Linked DNA regions of Macaca fascicularis. The protein of the gene in region 1 interacts with the protein of each later gene in a pairwise test. Links are inferred from orthologs where the notes say so. Each region holds a gene or a part of one and is shown on either strand. Other genes may lie near its edges. The genes, in order: ZFYVE19 and VPS4B.

Region 1 (10,427 bases):
AGTGAGCCCATTTCTCAATGCTTTCTTGCTCTTAAATAATTTTCTTTTTTTTTTTTTTGAGGCGGAGTCTCGCTGTGTCACCCAGGCTGGAGTGTAGTGGTGCGATCTCAGCTCACTGCAACCTCCGCCTCCCGGATTCAAGCAATTCTCCTGCCTCAGCCTCCCGAGTAGCTGGGATTACAGGCACCTGCCCCCATGCCCAGCTCATTTTTGTATTTTTAGTAAAGATGGGGTTTCAACATGTTGGTATCCAACTCCTGACCTTGTGATCCACCCACCTCGGCCTCCCAAAGTGCTGGGATTACAGGCGTGAGTCATCACGCCCGGCCTTTCTCAACCCTTTCTAATCACAGATCATCAGCTTTTTGCTCAGCACTAGAGACTATGGTTTCTATTACAAATAAAATCAGTATTCCTCCATTTTCCCAAATGTAAAAAACTAGTAATCTTAGCCATGTCTTTTCCAACCAGATCCATCCCCATCTACCTGATATTTTGACAGTCTGTCCTAAGGGTGGGTGTCCTATGGTTTGAGAATTACTGCCCTAAAGGAACAAGACATGATGAGGCCAAGGTTCAGTCACTCTCTTTGCCTTTCAGGGCAGGAATTACCATTTCCTGGGATCAGCACAGAGAGGGCAATGAAGCCAAGACCTTGTATATCACTGGGCAGGAAGAATTTTACCAGATTAGGTGTGGCTCTGACACAGTCACCTTCAGTTTAGTGTTTCAGAGCAAGAGGTTTAAAATTACAGCTTAGGTTTAAGTCTCATCTCTGCAGCTTAATGTCTGTGTGACCTTGGTCAAGTTCCTCAAGCTCACCAGGCCTGTTTCCTCATTTATAAAAAAGAACAGTATATACCTTATTTTTTTTTTTTTTAAAACAGGGTCTTGCTATGTTGCCCTGGCAAGTCTTAAACTCCCAGGTTCAAGCTATCCTCCCTCCTGCCTCTGCCTCCTTAGGTGTTTAGGATTACAGGCATGAGCCACCACACCTGGCCTCCTAAGATTATCAAGGCTATTCAATGAGATTGTGCCTCTAAAGCAGGATTTCTCAATGTTAGTTCTCTTGACACTTTGGACTGGGTAATTTTTCATTGTGATGTGCTGTCCTGTGACACAGAAGATTTAGTAGCATCCCTGGCTTCTATCCTCTAGGTGCCAGTAATATCCTGAGTTGTGACAACCAAAAAGTCTCTAAACGTTGCCACAAGTAGCCTGGGGGCCAAAATCATCCTTTGTTGAAAAACACTGCTCTGGCTGGGCTCAAGCCTGTAATCCCAGCACTTTGGGAGGCTGAGATGGGCGGATCACGAGGTCAGGAGATCAAGACCATCCTGGCTAACACGGTGAAACCCCGTCTCTCCTAAAAAATACAAAAAACCAGCCGGGTGAGGTGGCGGGCGCCCGTAGTCCCAGCTACTCCAGAGGCTGAGGCAGGAGAATGGTGTGAACCCGGGAGGCGGAGCTTGCAGTGAGCTGAGATCCGGCCACTGCACTCCAGCCTGGGTGACAGAGCGAGATTCCGTCTCAAAAAAAAAAAAAAAAAAAAAAAAAGAAAAACACTGCTCTGAAGCCTTCAAACAGCACTGTCCAACAGAATGTTCTATGATGACAGAAACATTCCATATCATGTTCTATATCTGTGCTGCCCATGATGGCAGCCATGAAGCCCATGTGGCTACTGAGCATTGAGATGTGGCTGGTGCTACTAAATAGCTTCTTCCTCCTTATCAACATCATGATTGCAGAGAATATTCACTGAGTACTCACTATGAGTCAGATACCATCCCAAGTACTTAGTGGATTATCTCATTTACTCCTCGTGATTTCCCTGAGGTAGGTTTTTCCATACATATCTTCATTTTACACATGAGGAAAGTGAGACTTAGGTCAAGTAACTTGTCCAGCATCACACAGCTAATACGTGATAGAACTGGGAATCACTGTCTGATTCTAAAGCCCGTGCACTTAAACACTAGACTTACACTGGCTCCCTTTGGAGTAAGCACTCAATGAATCGTAACTCTTACAATGTTGATCACTCTCTGATTTACATTCATCTCCCAGAGGGTGGACAGCAGAGCCTCTCCAGTCTGGGGAAAGAGGTGGGGCAGATTCCTAGGGAGCCAAATGGAGGGGTTACCTGGGTCTCCTCCTTTCCAGCTGTCGATAGCCACCTCAGCTGCCAGCTGCGTTAGCAGATCCTGTGTCTGCTGGGCTTGGGTCCTGTTGTCTGGTGTGTGATGTGCCTGTCCAGACGAGGAAACCTCAGTGGAGAGCAGGGGTAGCCCAGAAGCAGTCTAGGTCAGGGATGGATGCTAAGGAGTTCTCAAAGCCCAGGGAAAGGAGAAGGATCCACGGCCCACATAATCAAGTAGGTCTGGCAGTCCCCAACAGGACTGAGGGGCCACTTTTTCCTGCCCTACCCAATTGTGCTGTTTGTCCCTGGTCCCCGGGTCTGGTAGCAGGCCTGAGGATCAGGAGGTAGGGGTGGGAGGCTTTGCCAACTCCTGCAAAGTACATAAAATACAAAGGTTGGTGCAAAAGTAACTGAGGTTTTTGCAATTAAAAGTAATGACAAAAACTGCAATTACTTTTGTACCACCCCAATACCTGTGTCTGGGCATCTGCTGGGTCCTCCCCCTAGCACTCCCGCTTCTCTCCTAAGCCACAACACTCACCGGCTGGGGGGTTTGAGAAGGTAGAACTCTGCCCTGCAACGCCGCAAGCCGTGCCTCCATTTCCCGGGTGGAAGGGATGGAGCCCTGACGTTCATCCTTTAGCGCAGCCAGTCGTGCCTCTATCTCTTCCTGTGAGGGGACTAACTCTGCAATTGGCACGGAGGGAGCCTTGTAAGGGCCAGAGGCATCTCAGTCCCAGAAGCCCTGGACTGTGTCCTCTAGGCAACCCCATCTGCCCCCGCTCACTGGGCTTGTTCTCCTGGCGGAGTCGTGCTAGGCGCTCAGCAATCATCTGGTCTTGTCGGGTCAGTCCCTGGCTCTGGGAAGTGCTGGGCTTCTGCCTGGCTTCCAAGGCTGCCACACGCCTGGCAGGATATGAGACAGAGGCTCTTGAAGAAGGCAGAGGGGAAGAGTGAAGGCACCCACTCACTGTTTCCCATTCAAATCGAATCATTTCTGGGCACCTAGGGAGGCCTCCAGTGGGCAATCTGCTGTGCCCCTCACTCATGCCACCCTGCAGCCCAACCTGGCTGACCAGCCAGAGGGTCTAGCTGAAAGGACAAGCTATACCTAGTGCCTGTCCTGGAGAGAGGGCTGAAGAGCTGCTTTACAAGCCCAAGAGGGCAGTGAGGAGCTGGAGAGGAGAGCATTCTCCTGATTCTGTGCTCATTCCATCTAGAAGATTCGGGGAGGGTCTTTCCCTATGGCTCCCTTAGCCTTTCCCCAACCCTCTTTGTCTTTTTCTCTTCAGCACTTACTTCTTATAGTTCTGAGGTGGTGACCACTTGGAGGCATTGGCAGAAGATCCTCTACAGAGAAGAAATCTAGTGTTATAAGTCCTGCCATCCCACCAGGTAGTGCCCCCCACTCCAAACACTTCCTCGGCTGACTCTCGCCATAGAGTACAAAGCTGTGAGGGCTGGCCAGATGCCCACTGCCATACTTGACTGAACTTTCACCCATGCCTGCCTCTCACCTGGTCAGGACCTCGTGGCATTGCTTGCAGACTTTCTGTTGGGTGTTCCCAGTCCGAGGCACTGCTGCACTGAAGCTTAGGCAGCCTGAACAGAAGGCCCTGCCACAATTCTTACAGCCATACTACAAGAAACATGAAACAGGAGATCCACCTCTCACCTGCCCCTACAGGCTGCTCCCAGGGACTCTCCAATCTCACACACAGAGAAGTCACTGAAGTCATGGCCAGCTGCTGGGAGGAGGAAGAGGAGTGGGGCCCCTAAGGCCTAGGGGTGGAGAGTAAAGCAATTCCTCGGTTTCCAGCATCTTATTCAAGCCAAATGAAGGTTTATACAAAATTCCCAGGCTTTCTACCCTGTCTTCAATTCCCTGACCCAGGGGTGTAGAAGGCAGATAGATAAAACCCAGTATTTCAGGCCACTGACTCTTCCACACAGGAGAATCAGAGACTGAGCAGAGCCCATGCCTCCTCTGCTCTTGCTCAGGATGGGCTAACAATAGCCTCCATTTATTAAGCACTTACTATGTACCAGGCACTAAACCCAGTACTTAACATTCATCATGTGATTTATTCCTCACAATTTACACACATTATTTTACTTAATCTTGATGCCAACCGTGATTATACTTGTTTCAAGAGGAACAGAGGTCCTTTTACCCAAACCAAGGTCACCCCCTCAGTAAGACAGCAGATCTCAGATTTGAACCCTGACTCCAAAATCCAGGTTGGTAAACGCTACACAGTCCTGCCTTCCTACATGATACTAATTTACTCCATCTGGTTCCCAGCATCTCCTGGTCAGAATCCCTAGCCACAACTGAGGCAGAGGGGGCCTGCAGTTTACTAGAGGAATCTGGCAGGTCTGTGATAAGGACAGGACAGCTACCCTTCACCATGGTGCCCCTGAATCAGGAGGAAGTGTGGTAACCGAACTCGAGCGACCTGGAGAAGGGCGGGCTGCGGGATGGGGAAGGTTCAGAGCGGAGAGAGTAACGGGCTTGGTGTGATAGACACCGTGCTTCAGAGGGGCAGGGTGGAGAGAAAAAAACCGCCAGATGCTACACTGGGCCGACAGAAAAGAGTAGCGTTGCAAAAATGACGGCAGCGCGCTTTACAGTTTATAGGGAACTCTCAACCTAAAGCACTTCAGTGGACCCTCACATAAACTCAGAAAGCGAGGGAATGTTAGTCCCATTTTACAGAAATGGAAACTGAGGATCAATGACTTCATCAAAACTACATAGCTGGAAAGGGGCCGTAAGACCAAGTTTTGGACGTTAAGTCCCGCGCTTTTCCCTCCTCTCCTCCCTGGCCCTGCAGCTTTCGGGGAGGGAAGACTCGCCTCCTTCTTGAAGAGGGTGAACTTGACAGCGCAGCCGTAGCACCTACTCTCCATGGTGGCTCCCAGCACCGCAGGATCTGCAGAGTTGAAGTCACGCCGCCCAAGTCCTAGGCCCCTTGTACCCTCACCCCAGCTCCGCCCTTCCCTTCCCTGCCCTGCCACGCCCTGCCCCGCCCCACACGCCCACTGGCACTGTCCGGCCGCGACCTACAGCGGGGAATCCGCACGCTCCCCTGCAGCCAGCCTACGGCAGCGGCGGCAACGGGGGCTGCTGGGAGTCGTAGTTCATTCACGACTGCCAGCCTCCCTCAGAGTCAGTCAAGCCTGACCCAGAACACAATTCCCAGAGGGCTAGGCGCCACTCGGAGCCGGCAGTCCCCACGCGCGCTTAGACTCTTGGGAGTTGTAGTACGAATCCGTCAGGCCAGAACCATGGCAGTGACCAAGGAGCTCTTACAGATGGACCTGTACGCGCTGCTAGGCATTGAGGAGAAGGCAGCGGACAAAGAGGTGAGAATGGTGGCGAGGAAGGCTGATCCTGAGAGGTCTGGCGGCCCTTCGTGTCCTAGCGCCAGGGCCGCGGCTGGTATCCGCTCTCCAGGTTCATTCGGGTCCTGGGCGGGGAGCGAGGGTCGGCCCTATGCCCTCCGCAGCGGGCTCCCAGACATTTCCTGGACGGTCCGAGGGCCTCAAGAGGAAGCGGGGAACAGAGGGCTCTTCGCGCCGGGTGGCTGTGCTCTCCCTGTGGCCTCTGTCTGCTAGAGGCCGCGGGGTGAGGCTGCGAGGGAACGCTAGCCTCCTCTGCGCTTGCGCAGTCTCGGCGTCCGTTTCCGCTTCTGCCTTGGCTGTGACAAGAGGTGCCTCGTTTCAGTCTCTTCTGCAGGCTGATTTAATTCCTCCACTTAGAGCCTAGGGCGAAAGAAAAGTCAGATCTCAAGGCCTCTCCACTCCCTTTTCATGCCCCCTTGCCAATGTGACCGATGACCCTGCTGTCTCTATTTTCTTTTCCACTCTAGCCCATTGATTCTTTTCAGGTAGCTGATGCCCTTCTCAGCATGTGCTCGTTAGTGGGCTAAAAGCAGGAGGATCAGAAAGTTAAGGCAGACGGCCTAGAGTTCCATGCTACCTTAGGTGTTGATAAAAGATGCCAGGGAGTGAAACACTGATCAAGCTGGATTTAGGATTTCTGTTATCTCCCCCTGGATCATGGTGGTAGTTTTAACAATATAGGGAGAGGCGTTCATCAAATGAAAATTAGTGCCCAACTGAGCCGAGATCGCGCCACTGCACTCCATCCTGGGCGGCAAAGCAAGACTCCGTCTCAAAAAAAAAAAAAAAAAAAAAAAGTAAAATTAGTGCCCATTAGGCCGGGTGCGGTGGCTCACACTTCTAATCCCCGCACTTTGGGAGGCCGAGGCGGGCGGATCACGAGGTCAGGAGTTCGAGACCAGCCTGGCCAATATGGTGAAAGCCCGTCTCTATTAAAAATACAAAAACTAGCCAGGCGTGGTGGCACGCACCAATAGCCTCAGCTACTCGGGGGGCTGAGGCAAGAGAATCGCTGGAACCCGGGAGGTGGAGGTTGCAGTGAGCCAAGATTGTGCCACTGCACTCCGGCCTGGGTGACAGAGCGAGACTCCGTCTCAAATTAAAAAAAAAAAAAAAAAGGAAAAAAGAAAATTAGTGCCCACTATTGTCCCTGTACTTCTGAGCTGCCCTGCTCATGGGATGAGTGAGCTTTTGAGAAGAGGAAGCTCTGGGGCAGAAAATCAGGGAGACCCAGAGGGTCCCTGAGAGATGCTGTCAACCTGCACAAATCTGTCCCCTGCAGCCGCAGTTGAAATCAGAAGTGGCCATGGCATGTCTATGAAGCATCAAAAGCATCTGCTCCACCTCTCTCATGTTTTAATATTTTAGGATTAATAATTCCTAACACCTGTATAATGCTTACTATGTCCTAGACAGTATTTTTTTTTCCTGGATTGTATTCTAAGTGCTCTCCGTTTGCAAATTATTATTTTTAAAATTCTTTATTTATTATTATTTTTTGAGACGGAGTCTTGCTCTGTCGCCCAGAGCTGGAGTGCAGTGGCGCAATCTCAGCTAATTGCAACTTCTGCCTCCTAGGTTCAAGTGATTCTCCTGCCTCAGCCTCCCGAGTAGCTGGGACTATAGGCATGCACCAGCACGCCTGGCTAATTTTTTTTTTTTTTTTCCGTGATCTTCCCACCTCAGCCTCCCAAAGTGCTGGGATTACAGGTGAGAGCCACCATGCCCTGCCTGTATATTATTTAATTAGTACTTTATTACTAGTGGGAAATTATTTGAGACATTTCATCCAAGATCCGAGTGGGAAATCTGGAGTTTTGGGGTTTTTTTTTTTTTTTTTTTGAGATGGAGTCTCACTCTGTTGCCCAGGCTGGAGTGCAGTGATGCAATCTTGGCTCACTGCAACCTCTGCCTCCCAGGTTCAAGGAATTCTCCTGCCTCAGCCTCCTGAGCAGCTGGGATTACGGGCATGTGCCACCACGCCCAGCTAATTTTTGTGTTTTTATCAGAGACAGGGTTTCACCCTGTTGGCCAGGCTGGTCTTGAACTCCTGACCTCAAGTGATCCACCAGCCTTGGCCTCCCAAAGTGCTGGGATTACAGGCATGAGCTACCGCGCCCAGCTGAAATCTAGAGTTTCTAACCCTGAACTTGAGAACTCCTGAGGAAGTCAGTTGGAAGCCATTCTCTATTAATTAGAGAAGTTACATAATCAGATTTTCTTTTTTTTCAATTCTAGTTTTTGAGAAAAGATCTCTCTCATTCAGGCTGGAATGCAGTGGCACAATCACAGCTCGCTGCAGCCTCGGCTTCCTGGGCTCAAGTCAACCCACCTCAGCCTCCCATGTAGCTGGGACTGCAGGTGTGCATCATCATGCCTGGCTAATTTGTTTTGTGTGTGGTGTGTGTGTGTGTGTGTTTTTTTTTTTTTTTTTCTCCCAGAGATGGGGTCCAGCTGTATTGCCCAGGCTGGTCTCAAACTCCTGGGCTCAAGTGATCCTCCTGCCTTGGTCTCCCAGAGTGCTGGGATTGCACGTGTGAGCCACTGTGCCCTGCCCATAATTGGATTTTAAAGAAAGTATTCAGCTGAATGTGATGGCTCACACCTGCAATTCCAGCACTTTGGGAGGCCAAGGTGGAAGGAATGCTTGAGGTCAGGAGTTTGAGACCAGCCTGGGAAACATAGTGAGACTCTGTCTCTCCATATATATAAAAAACACAAAAAAAAAGCTGGGCAGGGTGTTACACGCCTGTAGTCCTCACTACATGGAAGGCTGAGGTGGGAGGATCACTTGAGCCTGGGAAGTTGCAGTGAGCTATGATTTTGCCACTGCATTCCAGCCTGGATGACAGGGTGAGACCCTGCCTCTCTTAAAAAAGAAACGAAAAAAGAAAAGAAAAAAGGAAAGAAAAGAAAATTCAGCTCTAGTCTGCATAATGAAAATGGGTGGGGGTGGGAGGAATGGAAGAGCTGCCACTAGGGGGTCAGGTGGGGCTGGTGTCTAGGCAAGAGACCAAGGTCTGAGCTGGGCAATAGTGACTGGGATCCAGTTCTAACTCAGATGAGATAAGGGATATGTGTGAAGCCTCTTTATAAAGCGTAACAGGTGCTGTTCCTGCCTTTTAGTAGGAGAGGCAAGATTCATGCATACAAGGGAGACATGGTAAGTTCCTTAAGAGGGGTACAAAGTGCTGTGGATGTTCAGTGTAGGCTGAGATTGCTTTTAGTTTGAGAGAAGGGATAAAGGAAGTAGAGAAGGTATTTGGGGCCTTGAAGAATGAGAAGAGTTTGGACATGTGGAGGTGGAGGCAGGGCATTCTAAGAAAGCAAATGTATATATTAATACGTACAGTCTATTTTGGAGCATAAGTAGGTGGCACCCTCAAAGAGGCCTTACCTATTTTTCTTTTTCATAGCAGCCAGTTCTCCTTTCTAGCACTTATTCCCATTTGCACTTTGGATACACTGGCTAACTTCATGGCAACAGACACTTTTTGGTAGAAAACAAGAGAGACCTAGGCCCTGGTGTCCCCTCACCATGGTTTAATACCTGTCATAGCCAACCTAGGTTGCTGTCATAGGGCAACCTAGAGGATACACAAATATTTCAAGTGTATACAAGGAAGAACTCCTAAACTGGTTGTCCAAATAGCCTGGGAGTTCTTAATTTGGCCTCTACAGAAAGTCTCCAGGAACTGGGTGAAGGAACCTCTGAAAATCATGTGTGATATTTTTTATGTATTTATTCTAGAGGAGAGGGGGACATTTTTTTTTCTTTCTTTTTTTTTTTTTTTTTTTTTTTGAGGCAGGGTCTCTCCCTGTTACCCATGCTGGAGTCAGTGGCATGATTACTGCTCACTGCAAACTCCTTCTCCTGGCCTCAAGCAATCCTCCCACCTCAGCCTCAAAAGTAACTGGGACCACAGGTGTGCACCACCATGCCCGGCTAATTTTTGTATTTTTGTAGAGATGGGGTTCCACCATGTTGGCCACGTTGGTCTTGAACTCCTGGGTTCAAGCAATCCTCCCGCCTTGGCCTCCGAAAAGTGTTGGGATTATAGGCATGAGGTACCACACCTGGCCAGAGGAGAGAATTTTAATTCAAAAAAGGTTAAAGAAGCCCTGATGGAGGCCAAGCTCCCTGTGTTACTGATGGTGAAACTGCAGCTCAGAGAAGTGGGTTAGTGGCAGAATTGAGACTAGAACCCTGATGCCCTGATGCCCAGCTCAGGCCTCTGCTCCGTCTACTAAGGCTCCCTGGCCCTGTCCAGCGCGGTTCAGTGGTAGTGATGAGCACCACTACCAAATTTAACTTGTGTTCAGACTACTTCTCTGAATCCCTAATCCATGTATCTATCTGCCTGTTTAATCCCTCCATTTGGATGTTTCACAGCAGTCTAAATCTTACTACATCCAAAAATTGGCCAGGCGCAGTGGCTTATGTCTAATCCCAGCACTTTGGGAGGCCCAGGCAGGCACATCACCTGAGGTCAGGAGTTTGAGACCAGCCTGGCCAACAGGGTAAAATCCCATCTCTACTAAAAATACAAAAATTAGCCAGACGCAGTGGCACGTGCCTGTAGTCCCAGCTACTGGGAGGCTGAGGCAGGAGAATCGCCTGAACCTGGGAGGCGGAGGTTGCAGTGAGCTGAGATCAAGTCACTGCACTCCAGCCTGGGTGACAGAGCTAGAATCTGTCTCAAAAAAAAAAAAAAAAAATTGAACTCTTTCAAGTCTCTCTCCAAACCTGCTCCTTCCTTGGATTTCCCTATCTTATGGCACCACCATCCATCTATTCAAGCTAGGAACCTGGAGTCATTCTCAGTACCTCCCTGTCCTCTCACCCATGCCATCTAGAACATCACCGGGTCCTGAT
Region 2 (10,427 bases), on another chromosome or scaffold:
TCCTGCTTGATCTTACTGCCGCCTCTCTCTTTCTGGTGTATCCTAAAAGGACTCAGATCCACCTTCATGAAACCAACATCTGACCAAATCACAATTCTACCAAGAAGGAAGACAGGAAGACAGAAAAGCAGGAGGTAGTGACAGAATGAAGAGGAAAGCTTTCAACAAATCTTACAGAATGATGTCCAAACTCATTATTCCAAGCCTCTAACTGGCAGTGCCAGTTGGTGCATTTTTAGCTTTATCTCCTGCCACTCCAACCCCACAGCACCTCTGCTTCCTACATTCCAGGGATCCCTCAAACAGAGCAGGTAGTTTATTCTTCGGCACCTTTATTTCTGCTTTTCCTTCTGCCTGAAATGGCCTGCACTCCGTCAAAATCAGATTAAGATTTTAAACTTCAGTTTAAGTGAACTTTCCCTAAGACATCCCTAACCACTCCTTCAGAATTAAGCCTTCTCTCTCCTGTGGTCCCACAGGGCTTCCTGCCTCTATCCTAGCACTTGTCATTCGGGAGTCAGAAGACCTGGGTCAAACTCCAGCTCCACCATATAAAAGCTGAATGAATTGGGGGGCATTTCTACTGATACCTCTCAGGCTGTTCCCTTTTTTTTCTTTATTTTTTTTGAGATAGAGTCTTGCTCTCTCGCCAGGCTGGAGTGCAGTGGCGCGATCTTAGCTCACTGCAACCTCCGCCTCCTGAGTTCAAGTGATTCTCATGCCTCAGCCTCCCGAGTAGTTGGGATTATAGGCACGTGCCACCACACCCAGCTAGTTTTTGTATTTTTAGTAGAGACGGGGTTTCACCACGTTGGCCAGGATGGTCTCAATCTCCTGACCTCGTGATCTGCCCGTCTCAGCCTCCCAAAGTGCTGGAATTACAGGTGTGAGCCACAGCGCCTGGCCTGTTTCCTCTTTTGTAAAAATGGGAGATTTAAGATTTACCTTGTAGTATACAGTAAGATAATGTATGCAAAAGTACTCTGTAAACTCTTACACATGTAACATTTTTACATTTACATTTTAAATATGTAAACGGTTAAAAGTTTCTACTCCACTAAAATGTAAAGTCCCAGGGAACGGGAATTTTAAAATGAAAAATTTTCGTTTTAAAGTAATACTTACAGGCTGGGTGTGGTGGTTCCCACCTGTAATCCCAGCATATTGGGTGGCTGAGGCAGGCAGATCACTTGAGGACAGGAGTTTGAGACCAGTCTGGACAACACGGCAAAACCCCATCTCTACAAAAATACAAAAATTCGCCAGGCATGGTGGCACACGCCTCTCATCCTAACTACTCGGGAGGCTGAGGAAGGAGAATCATTATGGGAGGTGGAGGATGCAGTGAGCCGAGATTGCACCACTGCACTCCGGCCTGGGTGACAGAGCGAGACTTTGTCTCAAAATAAGTAAACAAATAAAATTAAAAATAAACTTTTACAGAATAGGTGCAAAGGTATACAGAGAATTCCCATGTATTCTTCACCCAACTTCCCCTACTGTTAACATCTTAAATAACCATAGTACATTTATCAACACTAAGAAATTTACATTTATAAATTACTATTAGCTAAGCTGCAGACTTTATTCTCATTCTTACAACAGTTTTTCAACTCCTGGCCCTTTTCTGTTTCAGGATCCAATGCAGAATCCCATACTGCATTTAGTTGTCATCTTCTTAGTCTCTTCAATCTGTGACAGTTCCTCAGTCTTTCCTCGTCTTTTATGACCTTGACATTTTTGAGGAGCACTGGTCATTTTGTAGAGGTAGAAAAACCCTCCATATGAATTTTTCTGATGTTTTCTCATGATTAGATTGAGGTTACAGGTTTGGGAACCATACCACAGAGGTAATGTGCCCTTCTCCACATCAGGGGTTCCATCATAACAACATGGCTTATTACTGGTGATAAAAGAGGGTTTTTTGTTTGTTTTTACCGATTCTCTCTCTGTTGCCCAGGCTGGAGTGCAGTGGTGTGATCTTGGCTCACTGCAACCTCTGCCTCCTGGGTTCAAGTGATTTTTCTACTTCAGCCTCCCAAGTACCTGGAATTACAGGCAGGCACCATCGCGCCTGGATAATTTTTTTTTGTTTGTTTTGAGACAGAGTCTCACTCTGTAGCCCAGCCTGAAGTACTGTGGTGCAATCTCAGCTCACTGCAACCTCTGCCTCCTGGGTCCTGGTTCAACCAATTCTCTTGCCTCAGCCTCCCGAGTAGCTGGATTACAGGAATGCACCACCATGCCCAGGTAATTTTTGTATTTTTAGTAGTGACGAGGTTTCACCATGTTGGCCAGGCTGGTCTTCATATCCTGACCTCAGGTGGTCACCCACCTCGGCTTCCCAAAGTGCTAGGATTACAGGCGTGAGTCACCGCGCCCGGCCTAATTTTTGTACTTTTAGTAGACATGGAGTTTCACCATGTTGGCCAGGCTGGTCTCCAACTCCTGACCTCAAGTGATCCACCCACCTCGACCTCCCAAAGTGCTGGGATTACAGTCTTGAGCCACCGCACCTGGCCCATCTTTGCTTAAATTATAAACTTAGTTTCTCCCACAGTTAGTGCAGCCTATGCCCAGGAATGTAGAAGGACATCTTGGAGGTTAGAAGCAAGATGGAGTTGGTTAAGTTAGATCTCTTTCACTGTCTCAGTCACCATTTTGCAAAGGCAATTTCACAAGTAGGGAGAAAGGACTGGTAGATGCAGGGCAGAGACAGGGCTCTGAGCTTTGAGCCTGGATGATACAGATTTGGCAATACTATTCTAAGGAGAGACCAGAGAAAGAAGTTTAGGGTAGAAGGTAATTAATTTGAGTATGTTGAATTTGTCTTGCAGAAAAACCCTGTGAAGGAAACCTCTGGGAGGCTGTTGTAAATGCTGGGCAGGGGATGCGATGGGTCTAGAAATCCAGATTTGAAGCGACTTCTAGTCTATTGATAGCTGAAGCTCAAGAAGAGAATAAGATGAGCAGAGGTGGAGAAGAAAGAGAGAAGAGGACATCAGACTCTTGAGAAAATTCAGCTTAAGCTCAGGAAGGAGTAAGAAAGGGAGACAGTGAAGGAGGTAGAAAAGGAACATTAGGAAGCCGGACAAATAAGAACGGGGTAGTTGACAATACCAATGAAGAGGGAGGAGAAGAAGACTTTAATTCTTTCGGAGATGCCAGATTAGAAAAAATTAAGGAATGAGTGAGAAAAAAATGATGGAGTGATTAAACATCTACGTTGCTTTCCTTTGAGAAGGTTAATTATGAAAAGAAGAAAACGGTGGTGGTGGCTGCAAACCATAGGAAGGCTAAGAAAGGGTTTTACCTTGGTTCTGCCTCTAATCCCTGACGCATTTAACCTCAAGCCATTTGCCTGTAAACATAACCGGCATAATGCCCATTTTACAGGACAAGTGCTTCCCTCTTAGAACATATACTCGAGGACAGCGGCCGTCCACGCCTTATTTACGTTCATCTTCCCAACACAACAGTCATTTGGAAGATGCCGAGTGGCGTGGGAAGAACAAGCAGGAACGAGCGCCGACCCGCCCGCGGCCTGACTGCTAGCGCATCGCTGCGCGGCCGCCTCACCGCGCACTCCCTCCTGAATTATTCACCACCGAGACGAGGACTGTGATCGCCCCCATTCCACAGAGGACACGCAGTGAGGGAGGCGCAGTCACAGGCCCAAAGCCCCCAGTCGGCGGGTCTTGGAAATGGATGAGTTTTTCACTCAAACGCTGCGAGGCAACAAGGCACGTGGATGAGGAGGGAAGGGAGCCAGGACCAATAATTCGTCTCAAAGTAAAAGACGTCCCTGGGGGTGGGGAAAAAACAAACAAACAACAACAACAACAACAACAAAAAAAAAAAACAGAAAAAAAAAAAACCACAACCGGCTCTGTGCTTCCGCGCTTGCGCTATCCTAGGTCCGCCAGGCTGCCGCCCCGCCCCTAGGCCAGAGTTTCAGTGCGCCTGCGCCGAGCCCGACTTCCGCCAGGGCTCGTTTGGGTTCCAGGCTACTTCTCCCGGCCTAGGGAGGGCCTGCGCTGTGGCGAGAGAAGGGAGTCTGGTGACTGGGTGCGCGCGTGCTGATGACGAAATCGGAAGTGCCCGGAGCAGAGGCGGGACCAGAACCTAGAGGGGCTCGGGATTGCGGAAGTTTGGTGGGGAGGGTCCGATTGCTAGTGGAGAGAGTGTTGTCTGAAAACAAGTTCCGGAAGGGAGGCTGCTGCTCGCGGTCCGAGAACCACCGGACTCCCCAGTTTGGGGGCTGTTACCCCGGGCGCGGTTGGACGTCGCTGCCGTTGGCTCTTCTCGCCCCTCGTTCCCCTTGGGAACCGCCTGGGAACTCCGCCATGTCATCCACTTCGCCCAACCTCCAGGTATCATTGCTCATCTCCCGTTCCCCTAGGGAGCTGGGACCCAGGGGAGGCGCGAGAAGCGGGTGGGGGGCGGGGAGAAGGGAGGAAGCGGCCGCGCCTGTGGTCGGGAAGGAGGAGGGCGGGTCCGGGGACCTGCCGCAGGTGGGAGAGGGGCCCGTTTTCCAGCGGAAAGGTCTTTTCTGACCCGGTCTTGGGGTCTCCCGAGCCACTGACTTTGTGATACTGCTCCCTTTTGTTGGGTCTTCACGTCCCCAAACCAGCCAAGATCTGGGCAGATCTCTCCAATCAGGGTTAAGGGAGAAAGAACGTAATTTTTGCAAAGCCCTGTTCTAGACCAGTTGAAAATAGAGTGATCATAGTTCGGTCTTAGTTTCTCAAGCTGACAGCAGATGCCTTTATTCTGAGCTGTCAGATGAGTAGAAATATGGGAACAGACTAAGAATCTGAAATTACAGCCAGGCTACATACAGTCTGCGTGAAGTCATTGAATTTATGTGCAGTCTCCTGTGGCCCCCAGATTGTAGTGTGTAAGATCGAGGACTATTCTTAAACTTCTGTGTGGCTCCAGTTCCCCTCTTCTACCGCAATGAGCACAGTGTTTTGTACACAAATCATGGAATCTTAAGATTTTAGGCTTAATCGTTAGTCTTCTGTGGAATAGAATTCTTTCAGAAAAGAAATTCATGTAATGGTGTCTCCTATCCCCAGAATGGATCTAGGGCTTCAGTGGAGTTTAGAATGTAATGTGGCTTAATGTAGAGGACTCCCAGTCCAGTAAGTCAATAAGGGAAGAAAGTAGCCTAAAATACTTGTATTGAATCCCCGTCTTGGACTTCCGGTAGGTTGTTGAACAAGCATTTCAACTTTTATTGGAGTGCCTGATAGAGGCATCAAAGGTAATGGAAGAACTCCTTAGTCCGTGATAATTGATTCTGAAGAAAGACCACTCAAAGTAGACCCACTTAAACAGAGATTAAAATTTCACGCACGCATACACAAAAAGAGTGGGAAAGGAGGCTTGCTTGGGACTTTTGTCTTGAAAATCGACCTAGAAGATTATAAAAAAAAATTTTTTAATCTTTCACAAAATAATTATATAATTGCAGCAATGACTCATTTTGTAGAATAAGTCAAGTGTTGATTTGTCTGTGTCTTTTTCTTTTCTTTCTTTTTTTTTTTTTTGAAACGGAGTCTTGCTCTGTCGCCCAGGCTGGAGTGCAGTGGCTCGATCTCAGCTCACTACAACCTGCATCTCCCGGGTTCAAGCGATTCTCCTGCCTCAGCCTCCCGAGTAGCTGGGACTACAGTTGCCCACCACAACTCCTGGCTAATTTTTGTATTTTTAGTAGAGATGAGATTTCACCACGTTGATCCAGGCTGGCCTCCTGACCTCAGGTGATCCGCCCACCTCAGCCTCCCAGAGTGCTGGGATTACAGGCGTGAGCCACCACCCCCGGCCGACTGTATCTTTTTCACCAAGGTTGTGTTAAACTAAGATTCAGCAATCTTCACGTGAGGTTTTTGTAGCTTTTTGTAGTCCTATTTGGAAAGGTTCTTTTCGGTAAACGTATTTGGAAAAAGCGTTGGTCATTTGATAAAAGTGTTTTTCCCTTGAGTATTAAAGGTGACCCTTCTGAAGTGCCCATCTTGTCATCGTTGGCTTTTTAACAATTTTTATTTCACCAACTTTTCATTTGTCAGAGACTTCGCATGCGATTTCGATACTCTACAACATAATCTTCATCATTTGCAGGTTTTTTTTGTTGTTGTTTTGAGATAGTCTTGCTCTGTTGCCCAGACTGGAGTGCAGCAGCATGATCTTGGCTGACTGCAACCTCCACCTCCCAGGTTCAAGTGATTCTCGTGCCTCAGCCTCCCAAGTAGCTAGGATTACAGGCACCTACCACCACGCCCGGCTAATTTTTTTCTATATTTAGTAGAGACAGCGTTTCATCATGTTGGCCAGGCTGGTCTTGAACTCCTGACCTCAAGTGATCCACCCGCCTTAGCCTCCCAAAGTGCTGAGATTACAGGTGTGAGCCACCGTGCCCAGCCCCGGAATGCATCATATTTGAATTGGACTGTTGGCTCTTCTTCAGTGCGTCAGCCAGAGACTGACCAACATGAAAGGCATAATTGTTACTGTTAAGCCGGAGGGATCTTGAATTGTGATTTTGTTAGTGGTAGGTTCACATGTGTGCTTTCTCATTCAACCTTTTCAGCCTTCTAACCTAGGAAATTTGGATTAATATCCATGTGATGGTTAACTTCGTGCTGAGCAAGGCAAAACTCCCTGTGGCCAGATGCTTATAATCTAATGAGGGAATGCAGATAACTAAAAATCAAGATTATGTAATAATGTAACAAAGCTACACAGTAGTCTCCACTTCTCTGTGGTTTTACTTTCCACAGTTTCAATAACCCACAGTTAACCTGGGTCCAAAAATTTTAAATGAAATATTCCAGAATAAATAGTTTATAATTTTGAAACACTGTGTCACAATGCCTGTGTCATTCACTTCACTTCGTGTCATCACGTAGGCATTTTATTATTTCACATAATCACAAGAAGGTTGAGAACAGTACAATAAGATGCTGAGAGAGATAAACCACATTCACATAACTTTTATTACAGTATATTGTACTGGGCAAGGAGGCAAAGTCTGTCTGATGGGAGGCGGTGAGGGACCAAATTAGGAGAGTATCCATTCAAATAAAGTGAAAAGGATTGATCAGAGGAGAAAAATTAAAGATGGAGAAGAGTCAAGCTTGTATCTGCATTTTTTTTTTCTTTTTTTTTTTTTTTTTTTTGAGACGGAGTCTCACTCTATTGCCCAGGCAGGAGTGCAGTGGCATGATCTCGGCTTATGGTAACCTCCATCTCCTGGGTTCAAGCTGTTCTGCCTCAGTGCCCCCAAGTAGCAACTGGGATTACAGGGATGCACCACCACACCCAGCTAATTTTTGTATTTTTAGTAGAGACGGGGTTTCGCTATGTTGGCCAGGTGGGTCTCCAACTGCTGAACTCAGGTGATCCCCCCACCTCGGCCTCCCAAAGTTCTGAAATTACAGGCGTGAGCCACCGCTCCTGGCTGTATCTGCGTTTTGAAAGGGAGGAGGAATAGTCTGGGTTTTCTCCCAGATTTCGGGGTTGGGTATCTGAGTAGGTAGGGATTGGTTCTGGGAATACAAAAGGAGAGATATTTGGGGCCAGGGCAAGGGAGCAAAATAATTTGGTTCTAAACTTGTTGAGTTTTAGTTGCTTGTGGAGACAATCAAATGGAAATGTTGGTGAATATTTGCATATGCATGTGTAGAACTAGGGAGAGTGAACTAGGCTGGAAATAAGGATTTAGGAATTATTAGCATACAGGTGGCAGTAGAGGTTGTAGGCATACAGAGTCACATCCTGGAGAGTATACAGAGTAAGCCAAAACAAAGACCAAGGTAGAAATTCTATGGATTAGCGACATTTAAGGAGAGAGAAACGGGAGCCTGGAAAAGAATTGTTAATCAAAAGTAAAACCAGGCCAGGTGCGGTAGCTCACATCTGTAATCCCAGCATTTTGGGAGGCCAAGGCAGGCGGATCGCTTGAGCTCTGGACTTCGAGACCAGTCTGGGCAACGTGGTGAAACCCCCTCTCTACAAAAATTAGCTGAGTGTGGTGGTGCATGCCTATAGTCCCAGCTACTCCAGAGGCTGAGGTGGGAGGATGGCTCGAGCCCAGGAAGTGGAGGTTAAAGTGAGCTGTGATCACACCCCTGTACTCCAGCCTGGGTGACACAGTGAGACCCTGTCTTAAAAAAAAAAAAAAAAAAAAAAAAAAAAGGACTAAAACCTAGAAGAAAATGATGTCATGACAGCCAAGCAAGGAGACACTGTCAGGGTACTTGTTGTGTGTGTGAAGTGCTGCGAAGAGGGAGTGAGATAAGCATAAGATTTGGCTGTCAGGAGGCAGAAAGCATTGCTGTGTGAGAAATAGCAGATCGGGAAACTGGGATGAGTGTGGGTATTCGGGATTTTGATGTGGAGGCAAAGAGTTGAGTGAGATGTAGATAGGGGAACCGAGGAGCTGAGGAGAGATGGTGTGTAGTTTGTGTTCTGCAGAAGTGAGTCTGAGATAGGACAACACATTTTTCTGCTGAGGGAAAAAAGGAAAGATTGGAGAGAACAGTTGATAGACATGTCATTGATGGAGTAAAGGTCAGCGGAGGAAGGTGGGGATCAGCTCCACAGCAGAGCAGAAAGAATTGGTCTCGACAGACAGGGCCTGGGACACCTTTTCTCCTGAGGCAGGTAATTGTAGAATTTACCCCATTTCTCAGGGTTTTCTAAGGTGGATGTGTCTGGGTCTCCTAAGTGGAAAAGGACAATTCCACATGTTCCCAACCTTTATACTTCCATATTGATAACTGGATCCTGAGTGATCCTGGGGTGATACATCATTCAGTCTTGTGTCAGCCACTGTAATAGACTCTGGGAATATAAAGAAGTGAAGACAACAGATATAACTGCTGTTCTCCTAGAGCTTACATTCTAACCGGGAGAGAGAGGCCAATAAATGAAAAGAAAAACAAAAAAACTTTGTGCGTGCTCTGAAACACACACGCACGCGCACACACACACACAAAGATCATCAGCCTTAGGTCACTGCAAACCACGTAGGGTGGTGAGTCCCAGCCCACACCTGATGAATATACTTCATTGTCACATACGAGAGGGAGAATCAATGAAGGAGACTGAGAAGGAGCACCAGAGCGGTGGGAGGAAAACCAGCCAAGTGGTCGTAGGGGACTCAGCAGAGGACAGTGTCCAAGAAGGAGGAAATAATCAACTTTCAATGTCAGAAGATCGAGAAGACAGAGCTGGTGTTTGGATCTAGCATACTAGAGAGCCTTCATAGGAGCCGTTTTACTATGTGATAACGGAAAGAGAATAGAGGCCACTCTGGTGAGATTTTTGACTCTAAAAGGTAGCAGAGAAACAGAACTAACACTGAACAGTATTTTGTTATCAAATAAGACTTTTTAAAGGAGGGCTGTTTGTACGTTGATGGAAATATCTAGTGGAGAGAAATGTTAAGAATGACAGAAGTGAAGTAATTAAAAGGAAGAAGATACTGAAAAAGGAGTAGGGGAATTTTTTTGTCATTCGTTAAACAATTTTGAGTACCCGTTGTATGCCAGCACCATTCTAGGCGTGGGAAGCTCAAGGTGAAGTCCTGTCCTCATGGAGCCTACCTCCCTAAAGGAGACAGCCAGTGGGTGAGTGTACAGGTAAATATAATGACAGTAATAGGATGAGAGAGTGCAGCGGGGGCAGATAGCAGAGAGCAGGGATGAGGTACAGCCTTTTCTATAGCAAATTAGGGAGGGCCTCTCTGAGGACTTGCCATCTGAACTAGGACTGAAAAGGAGACATCATGCATCTATCTGGGGAAAGGAAGGAAGAACATTCTAGGTGGAGGGCTCCAACTGCTCAGGCTGCCTGAGTGCAGGAGGATTCTAGGGTTCAGAGGAGAACCACATGTAGCTAGGGCCCAGGTTATTTCAGACCTTTTAGGTCAGCTCTAGCATCAGGATTTTATTCTTTTCAATGGGAAGCCATCGAAGGTTGCCTTGTATGTTTTCAGGTAGCAAGGGTGGGAACAAACTGACCACTCACGAGGCTGGATAGTAGTTTTGACATATATGATAGCAGATAGAACTAGGGTGTTAGCAAGGGAGAGGGTGGAGGATTATATTCAGAAAGAAAATGAGCTCTGGCTGAAGAGGGAAGATAAGGTTTGATGGACCAGAGCAGATAGAGCTGGAAGAGGGGAAGACAGGCAGCAGACTCTGCCAGTATTATCTGTCTGAGACTGAAGAACTGAAGAACTCCAGTCAGTTGTGAATGATAAGAGCCAATACCTCCAGAGGCTGCAGGCAGAAAGGAATGAACTAAATGCAAAAGTTCACCTATTGCAGGAGGAGCTGCAGCTGCTGCTGGAACAGGGCTCCTGTATGAGGGAAGTAGTCCGGGCCATGGATATGGAGAAAATGTTAGTCAAGGTA

What was found.
Region 2: the proteins of ZFYVE19 (region 1) and VPS4B interact in binary tests that used the Homo sapiens proteins (3 or more experiments, as listed by UniProt). The two-hybrid records come from large-scale screens. The link is inferred for Macaca fascicularis from reciprocal best matches to the Homo sapiens genes ZFYVE19 and VPS4B.

The regions. Positions count from the first base shown.
Region 1 is NC_088381.1:17,348,051-17,358,477, reverse strand, and holds the start of ZFYVE19 (abscission/NoCut checkpoint regulator), read right to left. Parts: upstream 5,240-10,427; 5' UTR 5,057-5,239; coding exon 5,003-5,056; intron 3,783-5,002; coding exon 3,661-3,782; intron 3,494-3,660; coding exon 3,443-3,493; intron 3,050-3,442; coding exon 2,931-3,049; intron 2,831-2,930; coding exon 2,685-2,830; intron 2,253-2,684; coding exon 2,147-2,252; intron 1-2,146. Other genes in the region: DNAJC17 (dnaJ homolog subfamily C member 17), read left to right, coding at 5,435-5,512. UniProt on the Homo sapiens protein: Key regulator of abscission step in cytokinesis: part of the cytokinesis checkpoint, a process required to delay abscission to prevent both premature resolution of intercellular chromosome bridges and accumulation of DNA damage.
Region 2 is NC_088392.1:17,409,132-17,419,558, forward strand, and holds the start of VPS4B (vacuolar protein sorting-associated protein 4B), read left to right. Parts: upstream 1-4,156; 5' UTR 4,157-4,346; coding exon 4,347-4,373; intron 4,374-10,029; exon of another isoform or gene 10,030-10,427.